Linked DNA regions of Pelodiscus sinensis. The protein of the gene in region 3 purifies or fractionates together with the protein of the main gene of each other region. This does not show direct contact. Links are inferred from orthologs where the notes say so. Each region holds a gene or a part of one and is shown on either strand. Other genes may lie near its edges.

Region 1 (7,295 bases), on a different chromosome or scaffold from region 3:
GAAGTGGGCCTCATCCTCCTTGATTGGATCCACCTGGTCATCTCCAGCCTGATCCTGGCCTGCATATTTATTCCTGCCTCTGGAAATTTCCACTACATGCATCTGACGAAGTGGGTCTTTGCCCACGAAAGCTTATGCTCCTACACTTCAGTTAGTCTATAAGGTGCCACAGGACTCCTCATCGCTTTTGTATTTATAGTTGGCATTATATCTTCCAACGTGCGTTACTTTGCACTTACCAATGTTGAATTTCATCTGACATTTTGTCACCCAATTCTCACTTTTGTGAAATTCCTTTATACTTCTTTGTAGTCAGTTTTGATCTTAACTGTCTTGAATAATTTTGTATTGTTTGCAAATGTTGGCACCTCTTGTCCATCGCCTTTTCCAGATCACTTATGGATATTCTGAACAGAATAGGTCATAGTACATATCTGTGAGGGACCCAGAAATTCACCTCTCTCTGTTTTGAAAACTGACCATTTCTTCCTAACCTTTGCTTCCTTTTAACCCATCACTAGACTCTCATCTCGTAATCCATGAGTATTTACTTTGCTCAAGAGGCTTTGGTGTGGGACCTAGTGAAAGGCTTTCAGAAAGTCCAAGTACACAGTATCAACTGGATCTTCTTTGTTCGCTTGTTGAGCCCCTCAAAGACTTCTAAAAGATTGGTGAAGCATGATTTCCACTATTTTTATTCTCCTGTTTTCCCTATCATCTACTATATATTTGAGAACTTGTGAGTAAGTCTGTCCAGCTGTTTGTTCAAGAACTCCTCCTAAATGGTAAGAGATAGGACCACCAAATTTGGAATAAAAGAAAGTGAATCATAACTTAAAGCAAGATAAAGGTTTGGTTTTGCACTGGGATGGGGCAGGCTGAAGCTCCCTCCTCCCCTTCCCCCCCGCCATGCAAAAAGGGATACATACAACAATATAGAAATCACCAGGCTGATGAAAGGAGCTGGTTGGGGTGTGTCCCACGGCCAGGACTGTCCTAGGCCCGGGCCTCCCATCCCTCAGGTACCCTTTAGCGAGGGTGGGGGGAGCTGCAGCTCCACCCCCCATTTGCATGGGAACATGCTGGCTGTTCCTCTTCTATCAGGGAGTGAGGGGAAAATACACAGTTTGCTCCATTCCTCAATCTGGGGAGTGTAGTGAACAGACAAATCTGGACCTGCCCCAGCCAGGGGACATGAACCCCTTCCCTGGCTATGCCTCCTGGAGCTGCAGCAACCATGGAGAAGTGCTTCTCACCTGACTCCAAGCTGCTATGGACCCGAGCAATGCCTGAAATCTTCTAGTTTCTTATAATCATGAATTCATCATTTGATGATCACTTTCACCCAAGGTACTTCCTACATTCAGATTCTCAAACAATTCTTCCCTTTTTGTCAAAATCATATCTGTAACAGCCTCCCCTCTAGCTCAATGTTTTCTCAAAGTGGTCCACGAAACCACTTTGAGAAACCTATTAACTGCCCTCGCCGGTTTGTTTATTTACTGGCGCTGTGGCCATGGAGCCTCGCTGTTCCTATTGGCTCCATTTCGCTGTTTTGAGCCCAGGTGAGCTGCGGGAAGCAGCAGCCCAGCCCACACTGCTTCCTAGGGCTCCCGTTGGCTGCAAACTGCAAAATGGAGCCAATGGCAGTGCGCAGGAGTCCTGGGATGCAGTGGAGCTGCTGGGGACAGTCCCTGGCAGCAGTGTTGTGCAGAGTGCAGAGCTCCGGGCACAGGAGTCAAGATTGCTGGGAGGGAGGGTGTCAGCACAAGCTGGGGGTGCAGGGTTTTGGTTGGGGAGGGGACTGAGTGATGGGATTGAGGTGTGGGGGGTCTGGGCATGAGGAGGAACTCTTACCTAGCTTTGCGTCCCCTTGTGAGGAAAGCTTCTGGACAGCGTGTCACTGTGCTGCTGTTCCCACACCAGGGCAGGTAGGGCAAGGGGAGAGAAAGCGGCAACACACAAAGTGCACCTGCGAAGCCCAAGCACGCCCTGCCCTGCAGTGCCCTAGTTGGGCTCTGCAAGGCCCCTGCCCGGGCTGAAGCTGCAACTCCAAAGCACTGAGGGCTAGAAGCAGCTCCACTGGGTTTTGCAGTTGCCTCACAAGGGTGGAATTGTGGCAGGATGGAGTGTGGGGAGGGGAGAGGACAACAGCCATGCACTCTGTGATGCGGCTTGTTTTTGATCCCGTTCCCCAGGTGTCTCAGGGAGTGCGGGGAAAGTGCTTGCATTCTTTGCATGCCTCTCACTCCTGGCTGGTGGGCTCAGAGCTGGGGTAAGGGGGTGAGGCACTGCGGGGCATGAGGGTTCTATCTGGGGGTGAGGCTCTGTGGATAGGGTGACCAGATGACTGGTTTTAAACTGAAACACTGAGTTGAAAAGGGATCCTGGTGGTTTTAGTCAGCACCACCAACTAGGTTGTTGAAAGTCCAGTTGGTGGTACTGTGGAGCTAAGGCAGGCTAGACTCTACCTGTCCTGGCACTACAGCAACGTCTTAGCCAGAATAGACCAGATGGGGGGGCTCAGACTTTGGGTGGGTGGGCAATGACTGGGGAGTAGCAATGATGCAGCTGCCTCTCCTCCTCCCTCAAGTAGCCTTGGAAGAGGGGAAGGGATAGATGCTCTGACCAGGGGCCCTCTTAAAAATGGGAGCCCCCATATAAATGTGCGATCCTCCCATTTGCTCCCCCCTCACTCAGGGCATGGGTATGTCCCATCCGCCCACCTGGCACTTCCAGCTAGCAGTGGAGTTGGAACTCTGGGGCTTGCCCTGCTCTGTTGCCCGGCACTCTGAGCATGGAACAGTCAGAGCACAGGGGCTTGCCCTGCTATGCCACCCAGCATGGATGGATTGCCAGGGCTTGCCCTGCTTCGCTGCCTGGAGCTCCCAGCAGGGAAGCTGGGTCAGGGCACAGAGGCTTGCTGGGAGAGCCAGGTGGAGGAGCAGGCTAATCTCCTGGGCTGTCGTCTACACTGGTGGATTATTGCATAAGAATGGCCGTTCTTGCGCAAGAACCCACAAAGCGTCCACACTGCCCATCTGCTCTTGTGCAAGAAGATTTACAGTACGGTGTCGGAAGACAGGGCTTCTTGTACAAGAGCTACGCTCTTTTCTAACAAGTGTAAGCCCTCTTGTGCAAGAGCTCTTGCAAAAGATGGCAGTGTGGATGTGCAGCAGGAGCTCCTTGCACAAGAAAGCCCTATGGCTAAAATGGCCATTAGAGCTTTCTTGCGCAAGAGAGCATCCACACTGCCATGGATGCTCTTGTGCAAAAGCACATGGCCGTGTGGACGTGTTCTTGCGCAAGAGTTCTTGCACAAGAACCCACCAGTGTAGATATAGCCCTGGAGCACTGAGTGGAGATGGGCAAGCCCTCATGGTCTGGTGGTAGTAGAGGCAGGGCGGTGGGTGGGCATGTATGCTAAGTGGCAGACCCATTCGTGCCTACTATCCTGCATCACACTGTGCCTGTAAACAGCTAGCAGGTTTGGCTCCTAGGTGGGGGAACCCACAAGGCTCCACATGCTGCACCTTCCCTGAGCACTGGTCCCATACCCCTGCTGCCTGCTTGCAGGGTGCAGCACAGAGCCAGGTCAGGTAGGAACCGCCTTCGCTCTGCAGCACTGCTGACCGAACTTTTAACAGCCAGGTTGGCAGTGCTGACTGGAACCTTCCAAATTCTTTTTCAACTGAGTGTTCCAGTTGAAAATCGGACACCTGGCAGCCCTGGGCTTGAAAAGTCAATCACCATTGAGTTGTTAGGTACTAATGCCACAAATTGATCCAGTGATATCAAGATGTGATGACATGCAATGAATAGACTTTAAATCTAGAAGGGGGCATTATTATAATCTAGTCTGGCCTGCATTACGCAGGCCAATCTCTTGCAGTAATTTCTGCATCAAACCCATAACTTGTTTGAGTTTCAGCGATGGGGCAGACCTTTTAGAAAGCCATCCTGTCCAGATTTAAAGACTGCAAGTGACAGAGACTCCACTGCTTCTCCAGGTGACCTCTTCTATGCCCGCTGTGCAGGGAGCCCGAAGGCCACCGCGGGCTGAGGTGTCAGTAGCGGGGGGTCGGGCAAGGGGAATTAATTGGCAACCAGGCTGTGGGTGCAGCCTCCTGGCCGCCGCGGCGGTGGAAGGGAGACGGTGGGACACAGGAAGCAGCCGCTCGAAGGCTTGGCGGCTCTTTTCGGTCGCACAGAGAACTCACGGAGAAAGTCCCGCCCCTCTGCCACAGCCCTGTTCTCATTGGCTGGGGCCTGTGACATGCGGGGTGAGATTGGTGTTGTTGTTGTCAATCAGGCTGGTAGCGCTGCACTGACGGCGGGCTGTGGGGGGAGGACGCTGCAGGATCTGTTCTGTGCCCTTAGCCGTGCGGCGGCCCCCAGCAGCGCCATGGCTTGGATGGACATGCGGTGAGGTCCCGTGGGGGCAAAGCGGGCGGGCCTTGTGCAATGGGCCAGCGAGGCCGGATGCTGGGAGAGCGGGCTAGGCCGAGGGGCCGGGCGCCTTGGGCCTGGGGAGAGAGGGGGTGGGAATGGACGTCCTGGGGCCGCGGGGGCCGGTGGGGCTGAGTGCCTTGAGCCTGGAGGGGAACAATGGGGGTGAGGCTGGACGCCGTGCTGGGGGGGGGGGGTGAAGGTGGGGCTGAGGCGAGGGGGGGACTGGGCACCCTGGGGAAATGGGGCTGAGGGAGTGGGACTGGGTGCCATGAGGGGTGTGTGTGTGTGTGGGGGGGGTGCATAGTGGAGCTGTGCCAGGAGTGTAAATGGTTACCAGGTAAGCATTAGGTTTACCGGGTAGTTAACTGGTTAAACTGGTTGGGTGGCAGGAATCAGGGCAGGGCAACAGCTGTGGCAGCCCTGTCTTAGCCCCACCAGACAGAGACAGGCAGGATCCTGGCAGCCCTGGCCCTAGGAAGGGCAAACAGGACCCAGGCCGGCTGCAGCCCCAGCCCCTCTGCATCTCGTGTGTGCCCTGCAGCATTACACTTAATCAGTTAAGCATTTTATTTAACTGGCTTACCGCAATTTCACATCTGCGGGCTGGAAACCAGCAGTGGATTAGACTTTTGGCTCTCTGGACTGGGAGGCTTCGGTGGGTTTGTACTTTCTTGATGTGTTACTTTAAGGACCTGACTGATCACAAACCAAGGCATCTGCCAGACCAGAGGAGGTCAATTTTGGCTCCTCTGCTGCTGCTTGCTGTGGGGTTCCACTCCAATGGCAGCAGATGGACTGGCATTGACCAAGCAAATGGAGGGAGCGCTTGGGGGAAAAAGGCCAGGTGGCTGCAGAGGCCCATAGGGTGGCACTCCTGCCTCTTCCATTGAGCATCACCCAGTTCCTGCTTCTCCCCCTTTGTCCCTGAGATTGAGCCCTGCAAATGAGCTATTTGTGGTGCTCTGGGAGGACAGGGGAGGAGTTGCTGAGGATGGGCCCTGGCTTTTCCTTATGAGTGCTCCAACCTGGGAACATCCACAGGGATGTCAGACCACATATGTTGCCAGTCTATAGAGGTCCAACCAATTGTTATGGAAACAGTTATCAGTTAGTGTTGAAGGGGAGAGAACGGCCAGTTCTCACTTTTTGTGAGATGACTGTCTTTTTCATACTCCCTTACTAATCCTGTGACCTCTGTTGTATCTCCTTAGTTGGGCTTTAGTGCTCTCTAAATGTTGGTATCTCACGTCAGTTAGACATGTTACATTAGTTAATTCTTTGTTACCACAACATGTCCAAATTAAGGCAGGGTTGTGAGCTATAAGGGATATTTCTGAGGAGGTAGGTATGGGGCAGGCTCCTCAGGCAGAGCAAAATGTAGCAGCCTGCCTTCTTAGTGAATTGTTCCTATTGTTCTTAGTGATGTTAAGATGCGGTTAATTGGCTAATCGAGTAGTCAATAAAAATACTATCGACCACTCAATTAGTTGATAAGGGAAGGCAGCCCCGCTCAGTTGTGGCTTGCTCCATGTCCAGGACTGGGACCTACCCCCTGCTGCAGCTCTGAAGTTGAAATGTACTAAAGGCCAGGCATGCAGGCAGCTCAGCTCTTACTACATTTAAAATGCAGAGCCACAGCAGGGGGTAGGTTCCTGGCCAGAGCAGCCCCTGTACATGCCCAGTTGATAGAGGCAGCAGCACAGGAGGGAGTACAGGTGGCACCACGGAGATGGTGCTGTGATGACCTGGCTTTTGTAATGGCTCCTGCTTCCTCCACCCCTTGCTGCCTCTTATAAAGAGGCAGTGGGGACGGACGGACAAATGTGAGTTGTCGAGTAGTTGACTAGCTTAACCGATAAGCCTAGGCTTATCAGTTAGTTGACTGTTTGCTTACATCCCTAATTCTTAGTGAATTTCCCCAGAAGTATATACAAGGTGTAAAAAATGTTAAGGCTCCTTTACATTGCCAGAGTGGTGTCAGTATGGCCTTATAAAAGCTTCTCGTACTTCAGTGATTAGAGCTGGTCTAAATTTGTGGACTGAAAATTTCCTATTAGAGTGTGGTCTATGAACTGTTTGCTACTGACCTTTCTGGAAATGGCCAGTAGTCAATTCAAATTGTAAGTAAGAGTGCCCAGCCCTCACTTGCTCTTCAGTTGCCTATGGTGTAACACTGAGCAAATGGCTGTATATATTTGTTGATCAATAAAGTGTCAGTACTAGCTACGTTACTATTAAAGGGGATTTGAGGAGTTCCTTCGGTGTTCTGTTTTTCATCCATTGTACTGTAGTTTTAAATATAATTAACCAAAATAATTGAAACAAGCATGATTATACTGAAAGAGATCTTGGCGTCATTGTGGATAGTTCTCTGAAGACATCCATGCAGTGTGCAGCGGCAGTCAAAAAAGCAAACAGGATGTTAGGAATCATTAAAATAGGGATAAAGAATAAGATGAAGAATATCTTATTGCCCTTCTATAAATCCATGGTACGCCCACATCTTGAATACTAAGTACAGGTGTGGTCTCCTCATCTCCAAAAAGATATACTGGAATTAGAAAAGGTTCAGAGAAGGGCAACTAAAATGATTAGGGGTTTGGAACGGGTCCCATATGAGGAGAGATTAAAGAGACTAAGACTCTTCAGCTTGGAAAAGAGGAGACTAAGGGGGGGATATGATAGAGGTATATAAAATCATGAGTGGTATGGAGAAAGTGAATAAGAAAAAGTTATTTACTTGTTCCCTTAATATAAGAACTAGGGGCCACAAAATGAAATTAATGGGCAGCAGGTTTAAAACAAAAAAAAGGAAGTTCTTCTTTACACAGCGCACAGTCAAC
Region 2 (7,191 bases), on a different chromosome or scaffold from region 3:
TGATGGGGTTTCATTGTTTTCGGGCGGCGAGTGGAACTTCACGAAGGACAGCCCATAAGCCAAGGTCTACAGGAGATCAGCCAGAAAGAAAGTGACTCACTGGCAGAGCTGGAGAGAGAATCCAGAAGTCCTGGCTCACAGCCCCTGTCCCCGGTCTAACCACTAGACCTCATCCTTCCTCCACTTACCCACTGTGTCCACTTTCACACTGTTATCATACATTTGGTACAAAGTCTGCCTCGGGAAGTATCATGTGAAAACTCATAATCTGCAGAACATCATTGTCCTGTTAAAATGTGGAACAACTCTGTGTATAAAGCTATAACCTTCTACTCTGAAGTTACTGTGGGGAATACCCCCAGACTACCTCCTGGGTAGACAGAGACCAGCTCAATACCCCACCAGGCATTACGTGCTCTGGCAGCCAGTCTCCAACAGGGGAAATGCGTGAATAAGAAATGTTCATTGTATACAAGAGAGAGTTCAAGCCGCATGTACATAAGATGAGAGGCAATGGGGGAGAAGGATACCAGGGGCTTCTACCTCACCTCTCCCATTTCATGTTATCAGTGAACGCTGGATGGATTGAACCAAAGGGGAGAGTCCCAGCTTGAAAGGAAATTCAGCCTGCGAAAGAGAAAAGCCCTCCTTGCTCTCCAGTCACTGAGCATGGTAAAGGAAGGTCTGGCTTGTGTCTTTCTCTCTGATAATTTTTCTTTGGACCCAGAGGCAGTCGGGTTCGAGTGTCCCAGCGACACAGCTACTCCCCAGTCCGGACTGTCCCTGGAGCACGTCACCCCTGCCCCACCTCAGCAGGGTGTAGTGAAAATGGCCACTGATCCGCACTGCCCCTTTGGCTCACCCCCGCGGAATCCCTTCCACCCTGGCCAGCGTGCGAGGGGCCCCACCTTGGTGTAGGGCTGAGTGCAGACAATTTTCACTCGGTCCCATTTCTTCTCAGCCGCGGCCTTCACCAGCTTGTCTGGGCCAAACATCCGGACCCGGTTGAGGTTGGTGCCGGCCTTGCTCTCCGAGGGCGACATGAAGGACGAGGTGACCAGCAGCACCTGGGGAGGAGGGACCCTGGTGTAGAGAAGGCTCCCTAACCCTCCGGTGTCCCCCGCCCCAAATCCCGTCACCACCCCAGTCCAAAGGGACCAAGACCTCTGGGAACATTCCCGCACACTCTCTGGCACGGGGACAGGGCACACTCATCCCTACACACTCTCCTTCACGGAGACAGGAGACACACACGTTCCTGCACATTGTCTCGCACGGGGACAGGGGACACACATTCCTGCACATTGTCTCGCACGGGGACAGGGGACACACATTCCTGCACATTGTCTCGCACGGGGACAGGGGACACACACATTCCTGCACATTGTCTCGCACGGGGACAGGGGACACACATTCCTGCACATTGTCTCGCACGGGGACAGGAGACACACACATTCCTGCACATTGTCTCGCACGGGGACAGGAGACACACACATTCCTGCACATTGTCTCGCACGGGGACAGGAGACACACACATTCCTGCACATTGTCTCGCACGGGGACAGGAGACACACACATTCCTGCACATTGTCTCGCACGGGGACAGGAGACACACACATTCCTGCACATTGTCTCGCACGGGGACAGGAGACACACACATTCCTGCACATTGTCTCGCACGGGGACAGGAGACACACACATTCCTGCACATTGTCTCGCACGGGGACAGGGGACACACACACTTTCCCGCATTCTTTCACAGACGGATGAGAGTGGCCGATGGACCTGACCCAACCCCCCAGGGGTCGCTGAACCCGATCCACCCTCGGCCCTCCCGCCCCCCACCCAGGCCTGGGGGCGCCCGGAGCCCAGCACGGGCGGCTCCCTCCTCTCACCTCGTAGTCCTGCTCGCTGGGCGAGGCGGAGCTGCCGGCCAGCACCTCCACGAAGGCCGAGCCCTCGTTGCCCACGTCGATGCTGTGGATCCGCTCCTCCTTCTCGAACTGCCGCCGGGGAGGGGACAGTCACGGCCGGGGACGAGCCCCCCCCAGAGCCCAGGGGTCCGGGCTCCCCGCCCCTCCCCCCCCCAGAGCCCAGGGGTCCGGGCTCCCCGCTCCTCCCCCCCCCCAGAGCCCAAGGGGTCCGGGCTCCCCGCCCCTCCCCCCCCCAGAGCCCAGGGGTCCGGGCTCCCCGCCCCTCCCCCCCCCAGAGCCCAGGGGTCCGGGCTCCCCCCCCCCACCCCCCCCCCAGAGCCCAGGGGTCCGGGCTCCCCCCCCCACCCCCCTCCAGAGCCCAGGGGTCCGGGCTCCCCCCCCCAGAGCCCAGGGGTCCGGGCTCCCCGCCCCTCCCCCCCCCAGAGCCCAGGGGTCCGGGCTCCCCGCCCCTCCCCCCCCCCAGAGCCCAGGGGTCCGGGCTCCCCGCCCCTCCCCCCCCCAGAGCCCAGGGGTCCGGGCTCCCCGCCCCTCCCCCCCCCCAGAGCCCAGGGGTCCGGGCTCCCCGCCCCTCCCCCCCCCCCAGAGCCCAGGGGTCCGGGCTCCCCGCCCCTCCCCCCCCCCAGAGCCCAGGGGTCCGGGCGCCCCGCCCCCACCTGCAGGATGACTGACAGCTGCTTCTCGCCGGGCTGCGCCGCCCGCCACTTGCGGTAGGTGTCGCCCTTGAGCAGGTTCTCGGCGCAGTGAGTCTGGGGGGGGGGGAGACTGTCAGGGGGCCGCGCACCCCCGCGCGGAATGGACTCTCCCGCCCTGCTCCCCCGCGCTCCACGGGGAATGCCCCTCCCGCCTCCCCGGGACCCCCCCACTCCCTAATGGTCTCTCCCAGCCCCCCCCCCGGAATGGTCTGCCCCGCACCGGGTCGGCGCTGCTCGCGGACACCACATGACGGATCCCGATCTCCGGCATCGCCGCGCTCCGCGCCGCCCCGACCCGGGAGCAAAACTCCGCCGCCCGCCGGAAGCAGAACCGCTCTGCGCCTCCGGCTCTGTGTGCGCCCGGTCCTCCGAGCGCTCTGCGCAGGCGCCGCTGCGCAGCGAGAGGCTATGCGCATGCGCAGCGCCCGGCGTCGCCTGAAGCGGCGCGCGCCGGTGGCCCCTTCGCGCCTCTTTCCCGCGTTCCCCGCTCGATCGCGGCGCATGCGCCTTGCCACCGGTGCTGCCCCCCCTGGCGGCACAGAAGGAAAGTCGCCTCTAAGGCCGTCATGACGTCATGGAGCACGTGCCCCCTTCCTCTCTGCCGGGGCTCGGGGCGATCGCTGGTGCCGCGCTTCGTGCGCACGCGAGCTCACCAACAGCTCACCACAACCGTGCACACGTGCAAATCACAGCTCGGTCACCGAGCCCCTGCTCACCAGAACCCTACCAGCTGGGGCCTGTAGTCACCCTCTTGGCTGCCAGGTTTGCACAAGGACAGGGGACACGCTCACACCTGTGCACACTCGCACGGGGACAGGGCGCACACATTCCTGCACACTCTCCTGCACGGGGACACACTCACACCTGTGCACACTCTCGCACGGGGACAGGGCGCACACATTCCTGCACACTCTCCTGCACGGGGACACACTCACACCTGTGCACACTCTCGCACGGGGACAGGGCGCACACATTCCTGCACACTCTCCTGCACGGGGACACGCTCACACCTGTGCACACTCTCGCACGGGGACAGGGCGCACACATTCCTGCACACTCTCCTGCACAGGGAAAGGGCACACACATTCCTATACACTCTCTCACATAGGGACAGGGGACACACTCATTCCTATACACTCTCTTGCAAGGGGACAGGGCACACCCACACTTTCCCACATTCTCTCGCACAGGGGTGAGTGTGGCCAATCAGCCTGACCCAACCCACCCTGCCCAGTGTTCTGCACCCCCCATGCCTGGCTGGGATGCCAGGATGGACCCGCCTCTCCTGGTACCAAGTGCTGCGCCTTCTTGAGGCAGCGGGTGGGGGGCAGGCAGGGGCAGGGTCATACCAGGAGGCCAGCAGGAGCCCTTTCGGCACCATGCAGGAGGGACGGGAGCTGCATCCATTTTTAAGAAAAAATTGGGACTCCCCTGGGAGGGCTTAAATATGGCGCTGTCCCTTTAAAAAGGGTCACCCTAATTAGCACCCAGGCCTGCCCCTCCAGCCAGGCATCAGAGCCCGGGAGAGCCCGCGAGGGGGGCCCGGGGCTGTCACTCCAGCTTCAGCCTTTGCTGCCGTTCTGCCTGCCTGTCCCGGGCCTCTCTGGGGCCTGGGCCAGAAACTCTCTGTGCTGCACAGGCCGGCCCCCAGCCAGCCCAGCCAGGCCTCCCTCAGCACCCTGGGCCCCGGGCCTCCGCCAGGGATCAGAGCTGGGAGAGAACCCAGGAGTCCTGGCTCCCGGGTCCCCTCTAACCATTAGCCCCCACTCCCCACAGATCCAACCCTGGAGTCCCAGCCCCCGCGGGGCGTGGGACAGGGTTCCCGGCCCTGGGCTGAGCCCACCATAGTCTGTAACAATCCCTGCCCCACACTCGGTTCCTAGGGCCTCCAGCAGATGCCCCCCATGCTGAACTGCCCCCCCCCCCGTGCTGAAATGCCAGCCAGGGGGGCCCTGGCTTGAGCTGCCCCAGGGCCGAGACCCACCGGGCCTGGGAGAAGATGTCGTGCCGAGCTGGGGCATTCGCTGCACTTGGGCAGGGCGGGAGGCTGGCGGGGGGGGTTCTCCAGCCCCCGCCGCTGTCCCCAGCCCGGCCAGCTCCCCGTGTCACCTAGAGCCGCCTGCGGCAGCTACCACTTACCATCTGCCCCCCTGCCCTGGGGGCAGGGATCAGCCACAGCGCAGACGCGGGGGCCAGAGAGGTTTGGCTGATCCCCTCCGGGCCCAGGGCCAGACCCCCAAGAGGCTGCTCTCCGTCCCACCAGACAGCTGGCCGGGCCCCCTCACACTCACATGAGGCCACCTGCCCCCCACCCTGACACCAGCATCACCCGGGAGTGGGGTGGTCCCAAGGTGCCCATTGCTCCAGACCCCCCCTTTGGTCCCCAACACTGCGCCCTCCTTGCGGCTGGGTCTGTGCTCCAGCCCCCCAGGAGGTTCCCCCATGTGGGGCCGTGAACCCCCCTCCTGCCACTCCTGGGTGGGGGCAATTCTGGTTCCTTCCCTGCAGCCAGTCCCCAATAAATCAGTGCGGGAAACAAAAGGCCATTGTTTGACAGCTGGCCAGCCTGTTCCAACCACTGACCCCTGCTGGCCTCCCAGGGCTGGGACAGAAACCTGGGCGCCCCGCCAGCCCCTCTAACCACTAGACCCCACTGCTTTCCCAGATGTGGGGTAAGAACCCAGGAGTCCTGGTTCCCTGCCTGCCCCCTCTCACCGCTCAACACCACTGCTCTCCAGGATCTGGGGCTAGAACGCAGGAGTCCTGGCCCCCACCGCCTCTCGCTCTAACCACTAGGCCCCAGTCCCCACCCAGAGTGGACCCCTCCTTTGGGCAGTGATACAAGCAGCATCGTGTGGCCTCTCAGGGCTCCTTACTGCCCTGGGACCGCGCCATTCTGGGCCCAGCCTGGGGTGGGGGTAGGTGCCCCAGAGCCTCTTCGGAGGGAGTTTCCCCCTAACCCGGCTCCGGGGGCTCTGGCCCGGCCTGCAGGAGCCTGTCTGTGCCCGTGGCAGCGCCTCGCACGCCCGGGGTTTGCGGACCAGCCGGCCGGCAGCCCGTGCTCCAGCGTGGGAATCTTGCTGGTGGCTGTTGAGCGTGTGGGGTGCTCGGAGCCCGTCTCCCTGGCATTGGGGCTGTGTCCCCCCTAGAGCTCAGACCCTGCCCACATTGGGCACCGGCCGGCCGTGTCCCTGCTGGGCTCCCCCCTCCGGGAACCCTGCGCTAGGGGCAGAAGGCCCGTGGGGGGGGTCTGGGCTGGGGCAACGGGGGATGAGGATGCTCTCAGGCGCCCCATGTCCCAGCCCCGGCCTCTCCCCGCCCCAGATCCCCCCGGCCTGGCAGGGGCGGCCCTGGGCTGTGGTGCCACGTCCCCAGGCGGGTCCGGCTGGCAGGAAAGGCAGACGTGGCCACCTGTGAGAGGGCCAGGCCAGGTAATTGATGGCCCCGCAGCCGGATCCCTCCAGGAACTGGCTGTTCCCAGGCCCCGCAGCTATAAATCCCCACGGATGCAGGGCTGGCTGCATCCAACGGTCAGCTGCCCTCCTGCCCGGCGCTCGGCTCGGCACCATGGCCGCCCGCCTCGCCCTCTGCCTGCTCGCGGCGCTGCTGGCCACCGGTGAGTGGGAGTCTGGCGCCAACCACCGCCCCCACCCTTGGGGCTGCCCTCCCTCTAACCACTGCCCCCCGCTGCCCCAGGGGCTGCCCCCACGCTCACCACTGCCCCCCGCTGCCCCAGCTCTAACCACTACCCCTCACTGCCCTCGGCACTGCCCCCGCTGCCCTCGGCACTGCCCCCGCTGCCCTTGGCACTGCCCCTGCTCTAACCACTGCCCCCGCTGCCCTCGGCACTGCCCCTGCTCTAACCACTGCCCCTCACTGCCCTCAGCACTGCCCCTGCTCTAACCACTGCCCCCGCTGCCCTCGGCACTGCCCCTGCTCTAACCACTGCCCCTGCTGCCCTCGGCACTGCCCCTGCTCTAACCACTGCCCCCGCTGCCCTCGGCACTGCCCCTGCTCTAACCACTGCCCCCGCTGCCCTCGGCACTGCCCCTGCTCTAACCACTGCCCCCCGCTGACTCCCCAGAGCTCCCTCTCTAACCACTACCCCCCGCTGCCCTCGGCACTGGCCCTGCTCTAACCACTGCCCCCCGCTGACTCCCCAGAGCTCCCTCTCTAACCACTACCCCCCCCATTGCCCCCATAGAGCCAGGGAGAGAACCCAGGCCTTCTGGCAGCTCCATTTCACTCACCCTCCTGCTCTAACCATTAGACTCCACTCCCTAACCAAGGAACCCAGGAGTCCTGGCTCCCAGAACAGCTGCTGCAAGCCAGGCTCTGCTAGTGCCTGGAAGGAGCGCTGCGGGAGACCAGGCCAGGCTGCCGCACTGGAATGATCTGGGGGGGGGGGGGAGAAGTTGGCGACCCTACAGGTTACCCCCCCAACCCCCTCCCTCCCCAGGATGCTGCCTTCAGTGCGAACGCTGCACCAGCGCTGACAAGGCGTGCTCCGGAGAGCCGCAGGACTGCGAGCCCTCCCACACCTCCTGCCTCATCCTGACCTCCGA
Region 3 (7,048 bases):
GGTTTCACTGTTAATTCAATACTATCTGACAAATGCTCCATCTCAATAATCCATTTTAAAGAGTAGTTCCAAAGACTAGTTTTAAACAGTCAACTATCAACACTTTACTGCTGCCTCAGTGTGCATTTTCAAACTACAGTATTTCCTTTAAGATATCAAATTTGAGAAGCACAAAAATAAGTTCTGTATCTTATTCCTTCTAACAATTACTACATATTCTGGAATGTACTCTACCAGACAAGTAAATAAAATAAACTACAATTTACAGTCTACAGGATAAGACAATTATCATACAATTCAGTAAAAGAGTTAACACATTTAATTCTCTTTATTGTGAGCTACAGGCTTTCAATTTCTTGGATCATACAAATATAGGTTGCTTTTAAGATTAAAATTATATTTACCCGATAGCCCTAGTAGTCTATTAATTTCAGTGGAAAGGCTATTTATCTATTCATTGTACCAGAAAACTGGGCCACTGGTCTATCTTCACCTTCCATTTAAACACACAGGCTACGTCTACACTGGCCACAATTTCCGGAAAAGCCACGCAAATCAGGTAAGTCAGGATAGGGAAATCCGCGGGGGATTTAAATATCCCCCGCGGATTTAAATAAACATGTCCGCCGCTTTTTTTCCGGCTTGGGGAAAAGCCGGAAAAAAAGCATCTAGACTGGCGCGATCCTCCGGAATAAAGCCCTTTTCCGGTGGATCTCTTATTCCTACTTCGAAGTAGGAATAAGAGATCCACCGGAAAAGGGCTTTATTCCGGAGGATCGCGCCAGTCTAGACGCTTTTTTTCCGGCTTTTCCCCAAGCCGGAAAAAAAGCAGCGGACATGTTTATTTAAATCCCCTGCGGATTTCCCTATCCTGACTTACCTGATTTGCGTGGCTTTTCCGGAAATTGTGGCCAGTGTAGACGTAGCCACAAAGTGTTGCAAGGAAATCCAAGGGCCCAACTGTCAGTTACCTCCACCTCCTCTCTCCCCTTCCCCCCCAAAAAAAATCACTAAAAGTGTGAGCACTTTTTTAGACCTCAAGTACCTTAAACATTTCTGATGTAATTTACCATTTGATAACAGGGTATACAAAATACTGTACATTTAAAACATTAAAATTAGGGATGTGCAATATAATTGTTTAAACAGGTATTTGATAAGCATGAGCTTATTGTTACTGTAACAGTTACATGCCAGCTCCTGTGGAGCTGGCTGTCACCATGCACTGCTGGCTCCCAGTGTGCTCTTAAAAGGCGGTTCCCGAGCACAGTGGCTCCTGAGCACATCCCGGCCCCACTCCCAGGAAGCCAGCTGCCACCCTGCGCTGCAGGCTCTGAACGAGCAACACACGGTGGCAGCGGGGCTGGGAGCTGGCATGTAACTGTTACGGTAACAATAAGCTCATATTTATCAGTTAATAAACAGTTATACTGTTACATCCTTAACTAAGAATTGACATGCAAATATATCTCCAATAACTCTTCAAAATATCCAACAACAGAAGAAACTGTGGAAAACACTACAAATATGTCGAACAAAATAGTCAAACAAAACAACCATGTGTGAAGGTATTAAAAGAAATTTGAATGTAAGACTTCATATAAAATGTCAAATATTTGATATTACTTATACTTAAGCTTAGAAATATAATATGTATATTAGTAAATGTTGGTAAACATCAATTTCATTTACACCTAAACCCAAGAAAAAATATGTCCATCAATGAAAATGAAAATTTACATGAAGACAGAAGAAAAATACTGCTTATTAAAGCTTGACTGGAAGACAGGTAGTTTGTATGTTTTGATATGTGATGCTGACAATTTGTGTTTCACCTTCTTGAATCACAACATCCACTGTCAATAAGAGGTGGCCAAACAATCAATTATTTCCCACAACCGTGAACATTTAAGTCAATAAAAAATATGCATAGCAACAGACCTCTGGGCAAACCATACAAAAACGCTACGAAGCCTATTTTCATCACAGCCCACTTTGGGCTGCCGACCTCCCAAGGGACACCCCCGAGCGCGATCCAACCCTTTGGATGAGTTACAAATCTGCTAAGTTTGCCGGTTTATTTTTAAGAAAACAAAAATGTTGAGCCGGGCCAAGTTTCCCCGATCCGAGGCGCTGCCCCTCCCCAGCGGGTCAGGCTGGTCCCTATCGCGGGCTGAGCTCGGGGGAAGGAATAAATAAGCACAGTCCCAGCCGGGGGGGGGGGGGGGGGGGGGAGGGGCAGCCGATGTCATGTAACCGGGGGTTACGCAGCTGCCACACAACACAGCCCCACTCCGCCGGGGGCTCCGGGCCCTGGCCCGATGGGCGGGACTCCACAGGCAGCTACCGCCCCGGGGGGGGGGGGGGGGGGGGGGGCGCTGTGGCCTTTTGTCCGGAGCCTCGCACAGCGAGTCCGGCCTCCGCTCCAGCCCCGAGGCGGGCAGGCCCCAGCGGGAGCCGCGGGGAGAATGAGCGGAACCTCCCCGCGCGCGTAAGCCCCTGGCTTCCCAGCGGCGAGCTCTAGAACGCGGCGGCGTCACGGACTCACCCGCGGGCCCGGCTCGCGCTGCTCCGTGTCTTCGCCGCTGGGCTAGCGAGCGAACCGCCGCCCCAGCCGCCGTCACCTGCTGTCGCGAGAGCGAGACGCGACGACGTCAGGGCGCAGAGGGGCGGGGGAACGAGAGTGGAGGGAGGGGCAAAACGGAGCGGTCAGACACTCTCCCACGGGGGAAGCCCGAGAGGGGGTGTCGATACCGAGACGCTACTGGCGCGCGCCCAAATAGCTCCTCCCTCCTTCCGCGGTGCCTGTCTGCGGAGACCTCCTCTCCAGCCCATAATACTCACAGCCGCCTTCCTGCGGCGCGTGTTCACTCGCGCGCTCCTTGTTGCTTAGGCACCCGCGGCTGTTGTGCGGCCGCTGAACGCCCACAGGGCTTGGGGGGGGGGCTGCTGCGGGGCGGCCGTTACGTGCGTTAGCGGCCGCCCCCGCAGCCTAGACCCGGCTGCTCCTGCGCCGCGGAAACCCAGCGCCCCCGCGTGGTTTGCAGCGGCGGTAACTCGACACCCCCCCCCCTCGCTTTCTCCAGCCGTCAAGCGGGGGGGCTCAGGCTGGGCCTCGCGGGCGGCGACCTCAGCCCTGCAGCCAGCGCCCGCGTTTGGCGAAAGCAAATCTTCCCGCTGAGCAGCACGAGGCGGAGACGCCGCTGCACCTACCTCCCGTCAGTGGTGACTCGCCCCCCACCCGCCCTGTGAAAAAAGAGCCCTCCTTTTGCCTGCGCCTGGCTCCTGCCGCTGCACTAGAGCGTCTCTTTGGATCGGAGCTGGGATTTTATGGTGCACCCTGGTCTTTGTGATGGGCTAAAATCCATTGAGCCCTTTCGGGCTGACCCAACATTAATCTCTTTAGGCCAGAACCTTTTGGTCTGACCCAGCATTGAGCTCTTTAGGCGTCTCACTGTAAGACATTGATTTTCCTGGCCCTCAGATTGTTTAGTGGCTCTTCTGCGCACCTCTCCAATCTTTTCCTTTTTAAAAGGGGGACACCATAATTGTACACAGTGTTCCAGTATGGGTCTTAAATTAGCAGGCAGTAAGTTTAAAACAAAAGAAAGTATTTTTTTTTTACACGACACACAGTCCACCTGTGGAACTCCTTGCTACAGGATGTTGTGAAGCCCAAGACTATTTCAGGCCTCAAAAAAGAGTAGTGGTTCATGGAGGATAGGTACATCAATGGCTAAAAAACAGGATGGGCAGGGATGTTGTCACTAGCTTCTGTTTGTCAGAAGCTGGGAATGTGTGACGGGATGGATCACTTGGGCTACGTCTACACTGGCAGGAGTTTGCGCAAATACTTTTAACACAAGTTTTTGCGTAAAGTATTTGCGCAAGAGAGCGTCTACACTGGCACGTGCCTTTGTGCAAAAGCATCTGTGCCAGTGTAGATGCTCTCGCATGAGAAAGCTCTGCTGGCCATTTTAGCCATCGGGCTTTCTTGCACAAGTAATTAACGTTGCCTGAACCCTGAGCGGGAGCGTCAAGAGTAGTTGCGCAAGAAGCACTGATTTCATACATTAGAACGTTAGTGTTCTTGCGCAAGTACTCGCGGCCAATGTAGACAGGTGGCAAGATTTTATGTAAAAGCAACCGCTTTTGTGCAAAATCTTGCCAATGTAGACACAGCCCTGACGATTACTGGTTCATTCTTTCGGGGAACCTGGCATTGGCCACTGTTAGAAGCTAGGATACTGGGGCTAGATGAGTAGCTAGTCTGATCCAGTATAACCATTCTTATGTTCTCACCAGTGCAACATCCAGGGTAAACTTACTGTACCTTCTCTCTACCCTTTTTATACATGCCTGAAATTGTTAGTGTTGTAGGTGTCACCACACTCATTAACGATTATACTGCACAATGAAAATCAGCAGTGCTTTAACTAACATGGGTTGAGCCCTGCTGTGCATCCTAACACAATTTGATTGTGAGTGTCACAGTATTTGCTGGCTTTCATAAAGCCCCAGTTCCCTGACTGAAGTGATTATGTGATAATCTCAACTTCCATTAAAAAGGTAATTTTTAGCCATTATAGTTGCAAAGAATAGCTTCAAAACACAGCATGACAGCACACTAATGGCCCCACAACTAAATAAAAAGTACTAAAATGTATTGGTTTTTTTTAATTATTTTTAAATCATAGCCAAGATTGCTGGGGTGTGTGGCTCATGATTTTTGCACACTTGTTGGCAGTATTGTATCATAACGCCGCTGAACTGGCTGTAGGATAATTTGTTTTTTAAGTTTTGACAAACGTGTGTGTGTTTGTATTAGCTGCTTCTGCCATGGCCGAGCATCCTGCCATGAGTCATACTCTACTGTCCTGCAGTGCAGATTACAAAAGGAACGTGCTATTTTTGCAACAGAAGGAAATGAGTTCTGGTCCCATTGCATCTGTGGAGGAGCCATAACAGTTAATGCCGGTGCTGGGTCTCCCCTTAAGACTCACTGTGAGATGTAAACTATATCTCAACCCTCACTATAAAACAAGCATTCCTGTGCTTAGATTATATGCTATATCAGACTATATCAAAACTAGATACCTAGAATAATACACTGTAGCCTTGGCCTGGAAATAAAAGTGTTGAGGTCCATATATTGTCAGATATGAAAAGGAGAATGGAAAGGTGATTTATTCTAGTGAATCAACAAACTTTCCTAATAGAAAATTTTATTTATTGTGTACAAGATGTAAAATAGGTCTTATACAATACCACAAAGAGCAGTTTCATACACCTTTGAGGCTATCCTTTTTTGTTGTTGGCGTACTATTTATTTCTATTCTCTTTATTGTGACAGCACCACGGATCTGGATTAATACTTTATAGTGCTAGGCCTGTACAGTAGATAGACCCTGCTCCAAATATCTTACTGTCTAAGAGGAGACAACATATAGAACAGACATATTTATGGGGGAGGACAAGCAAACAATGCGCAGCCCAGCTCCACAGCAAAAAGCCCATCTCTGGTAATGCTAAGGCCAGGTTGGTGCTGAGTTGCTTGGCTATGCAGCAGCAGGACAAGCAGAGAAAGTCCCTGGAGCCCAATGGTGAGGTGAATCCATGACACCTTGTCATGGTACTGCAGATAGAATCCATCCTGAGTGTGGTCAGTGCCCAGCAAGCAAGTCCCAATCCTAGTATAGTGGCAAGTCCATCCCTACCTGGTGCTCACAGCTGGAGTCAGTAAGGGAGGAAGGCAGACAAGCAAAAGATAAGAGAGAGCATGGGCCACAAAGAAGAGTCACCAGATACAGCCAGTGGCCACCAACACTGTCACAAACTTCCTTCTTCATAGCTCCAGACCCCCTCATCCAAACCTGCTTCTAACATAGATCCCAAATAACTTCTCTCCCACACTTCCCCTTAACCTCTCCCCAACAGCCTCCCACCCAACTTGCAAATAATGCCCCACCTAGCTCCCCAACTACCACTTAAATCCATCCATATTACTCTGCCCCCAAGTAAATATACCTGTACATACCTCCTCCTGCCACAGCCTTCAACTCCCTGCCATGCCAACTCCCATATCCCCAAATAAACTTACCTTTGGCTGAAGCTGAACACCCTGATGAAACCCTTTCTCAACTCCCTAAAGCCCCCCCCCTTCATGTCCTCAAATCATCTCCTGCCACAGCTTACCATCCCTCCAAACCCCATCCCCCAATAAATCCACTTTTTAAAACTTCTCCTATTCCTCCAATTTCCACATGATCTCCCTCTCAGCTTACTTTTCACCCTTGCCCTTTGCACTGCTCCCCTCCCCAAGTTCTCATTCCTGCTTTCAACCACCATTTGTGCTAAAGATCTGACCCAATGCCCCCAGTTGCTGCTGTGAGGCTGGTGACTTTCTCCCTTTTCTCTCCCTCTTCCTTGTCTTCTTGAGGTGCTTTGATGATTTGCCCCCCTTATTAGAGGAGCCGGCTCCAGTGGAAATACACAAGTGGCAAGAGCCTATAGACTGGAACAGAGAGCCAGGCCCATCCTAGGACAACTGAAGCTGCCTCTTCAGGGTGTGTGTGGGCAGCCTCATTCCCCAACTGTCCACCTCCCCTTCCGAGCAGTCCCTCCACATTTTGCTGGGTTAGAAACAGCAACCCTCCAGAAATCAGAGCCTAATGGTATTACTCAGCTCCCAAGGAGAATATTTTTACCAGTTGCTTAAGACAATGCTACAATATTGGTTAGCATGAACGGCAGGGGGCTCTACACACCAACAACCTAACTGTTGAGGGTTTTGTTTTTTGTTTATAAATTTTAACTCACATTAAATCTTATATACTTCAAAAATTGGTTTATTTACACATTGTGAATGTGAACAAAACTGTAAGAAGTTAAATGTAAGTTAAAAATCAGACATATTATGCTTTTACCAACAAAATTGTATTAAAATCCATGTGTTCCTTCTCAGCTGGAAACTGATTGAGGATGTGTAAAATGGCACTGTTTCATTTAGATACCAATCCTTCAGTGTGCCAATATGATGTTCACTCCC

The links.
Region 1: the proteins of E3 ubiquitin-protein ligase RNF146-B (region 3) and HLTF purify together in Homo sapiens (affinity purification with mass spectrometry; 4 studies listed by BioGRID and IntAct, with this or other methods). This does not show direct contact. The link is inferred for Pelodiscus sinensis from reciprocal best matches to the Homo sapiens genes RNF146 and HLTF.
Region 2: the proteins of E3 ubiquitin-protein ligase RNF146-B (region 3) and DNA repair protein XRCC1 purify together in Homo sapiens (co-immunoprecipitation; 3 studies listed by BioGRID and IntAct, with this or other methods). This does not show direct contact. The link is inferred for Pelodiscus sinensis from reciprocal best matches to the Homo sapiens genes RNF146 and XRCC1.

What each region holds. Positions count from the first base shown.
Region 1 is NC_134720.1:25,563,049-25,570,343, reverse strand, and holds the start of HLTF (helicase-like transcription factor), read left to right. Parts: upstream 1-4,289; 5' UTR 4,290-4,405; coding exon 4,406-4,425; intron 4,426-7,295. UniProt on the Homo sapiens protein: Has both helicase and E3 ubiquitin ligase activities. Possesses intrinsic ATP-dependent nucleosome-remodeling activity; This activity may be required for transcriptional activation or repression of specific target promoters.
Region 2 is NC_134734.1:124,552-131,742, reverse strand, and holds the start of DNA repair protein XRCC1, read right to left. Parts: upstream 3,007-7,191; 5' UTR 2,898-3,006; coding exon 2,847-2,897; intron 2,681-2,846; coding exon 2,588-2,680; intron 2,004-2,587; coding exon 1,896-2,003; intron 1,068-1,895; coding exon 909-1,067; intron 67-908; coding exon 1-66. Other genes in the region: phospholipase A2 inhibitor and Ly6/PLAUR domain-containing protein-like, read left to right, coding at 6,194-6,242, 7,086-7,191. UniProt on the Homo sapiens protein: Scaffold protein involved in DNA single-strand break repair by mediating the assembly of DNA break repair protein complexes. Negatively regulates ADP-ribosyltransferase activity of PARP1 during base-excision repair in order to prevent excessive PARP1 activity.
Region 3 is NC_134713.1:90,564,219-90,571,266, reverse strand, and holds the start of E3 ubiquitin-protein ligase RNF146-B, read right to left. Parts: upstream 3,002-7,048; 5' UTR 2,845-3,001; intron 2,789-2,844; exon of another isoform or gene 2,549-2,788; intron 2,184-2,548; exon of another isoform or gene 1,942-2,183; intron 538-1,941; exon of another isoform or gene 1-537. UniProt on the Homo sapiens protein: E3 ubiquitin-protein ligase that specifically binds poly-ADP-ribosylated (PARsylated) proteins and mediates their ubiquitination and subsequent degradation. May regulate many important biological processes, such as cell survival and DNA damage response.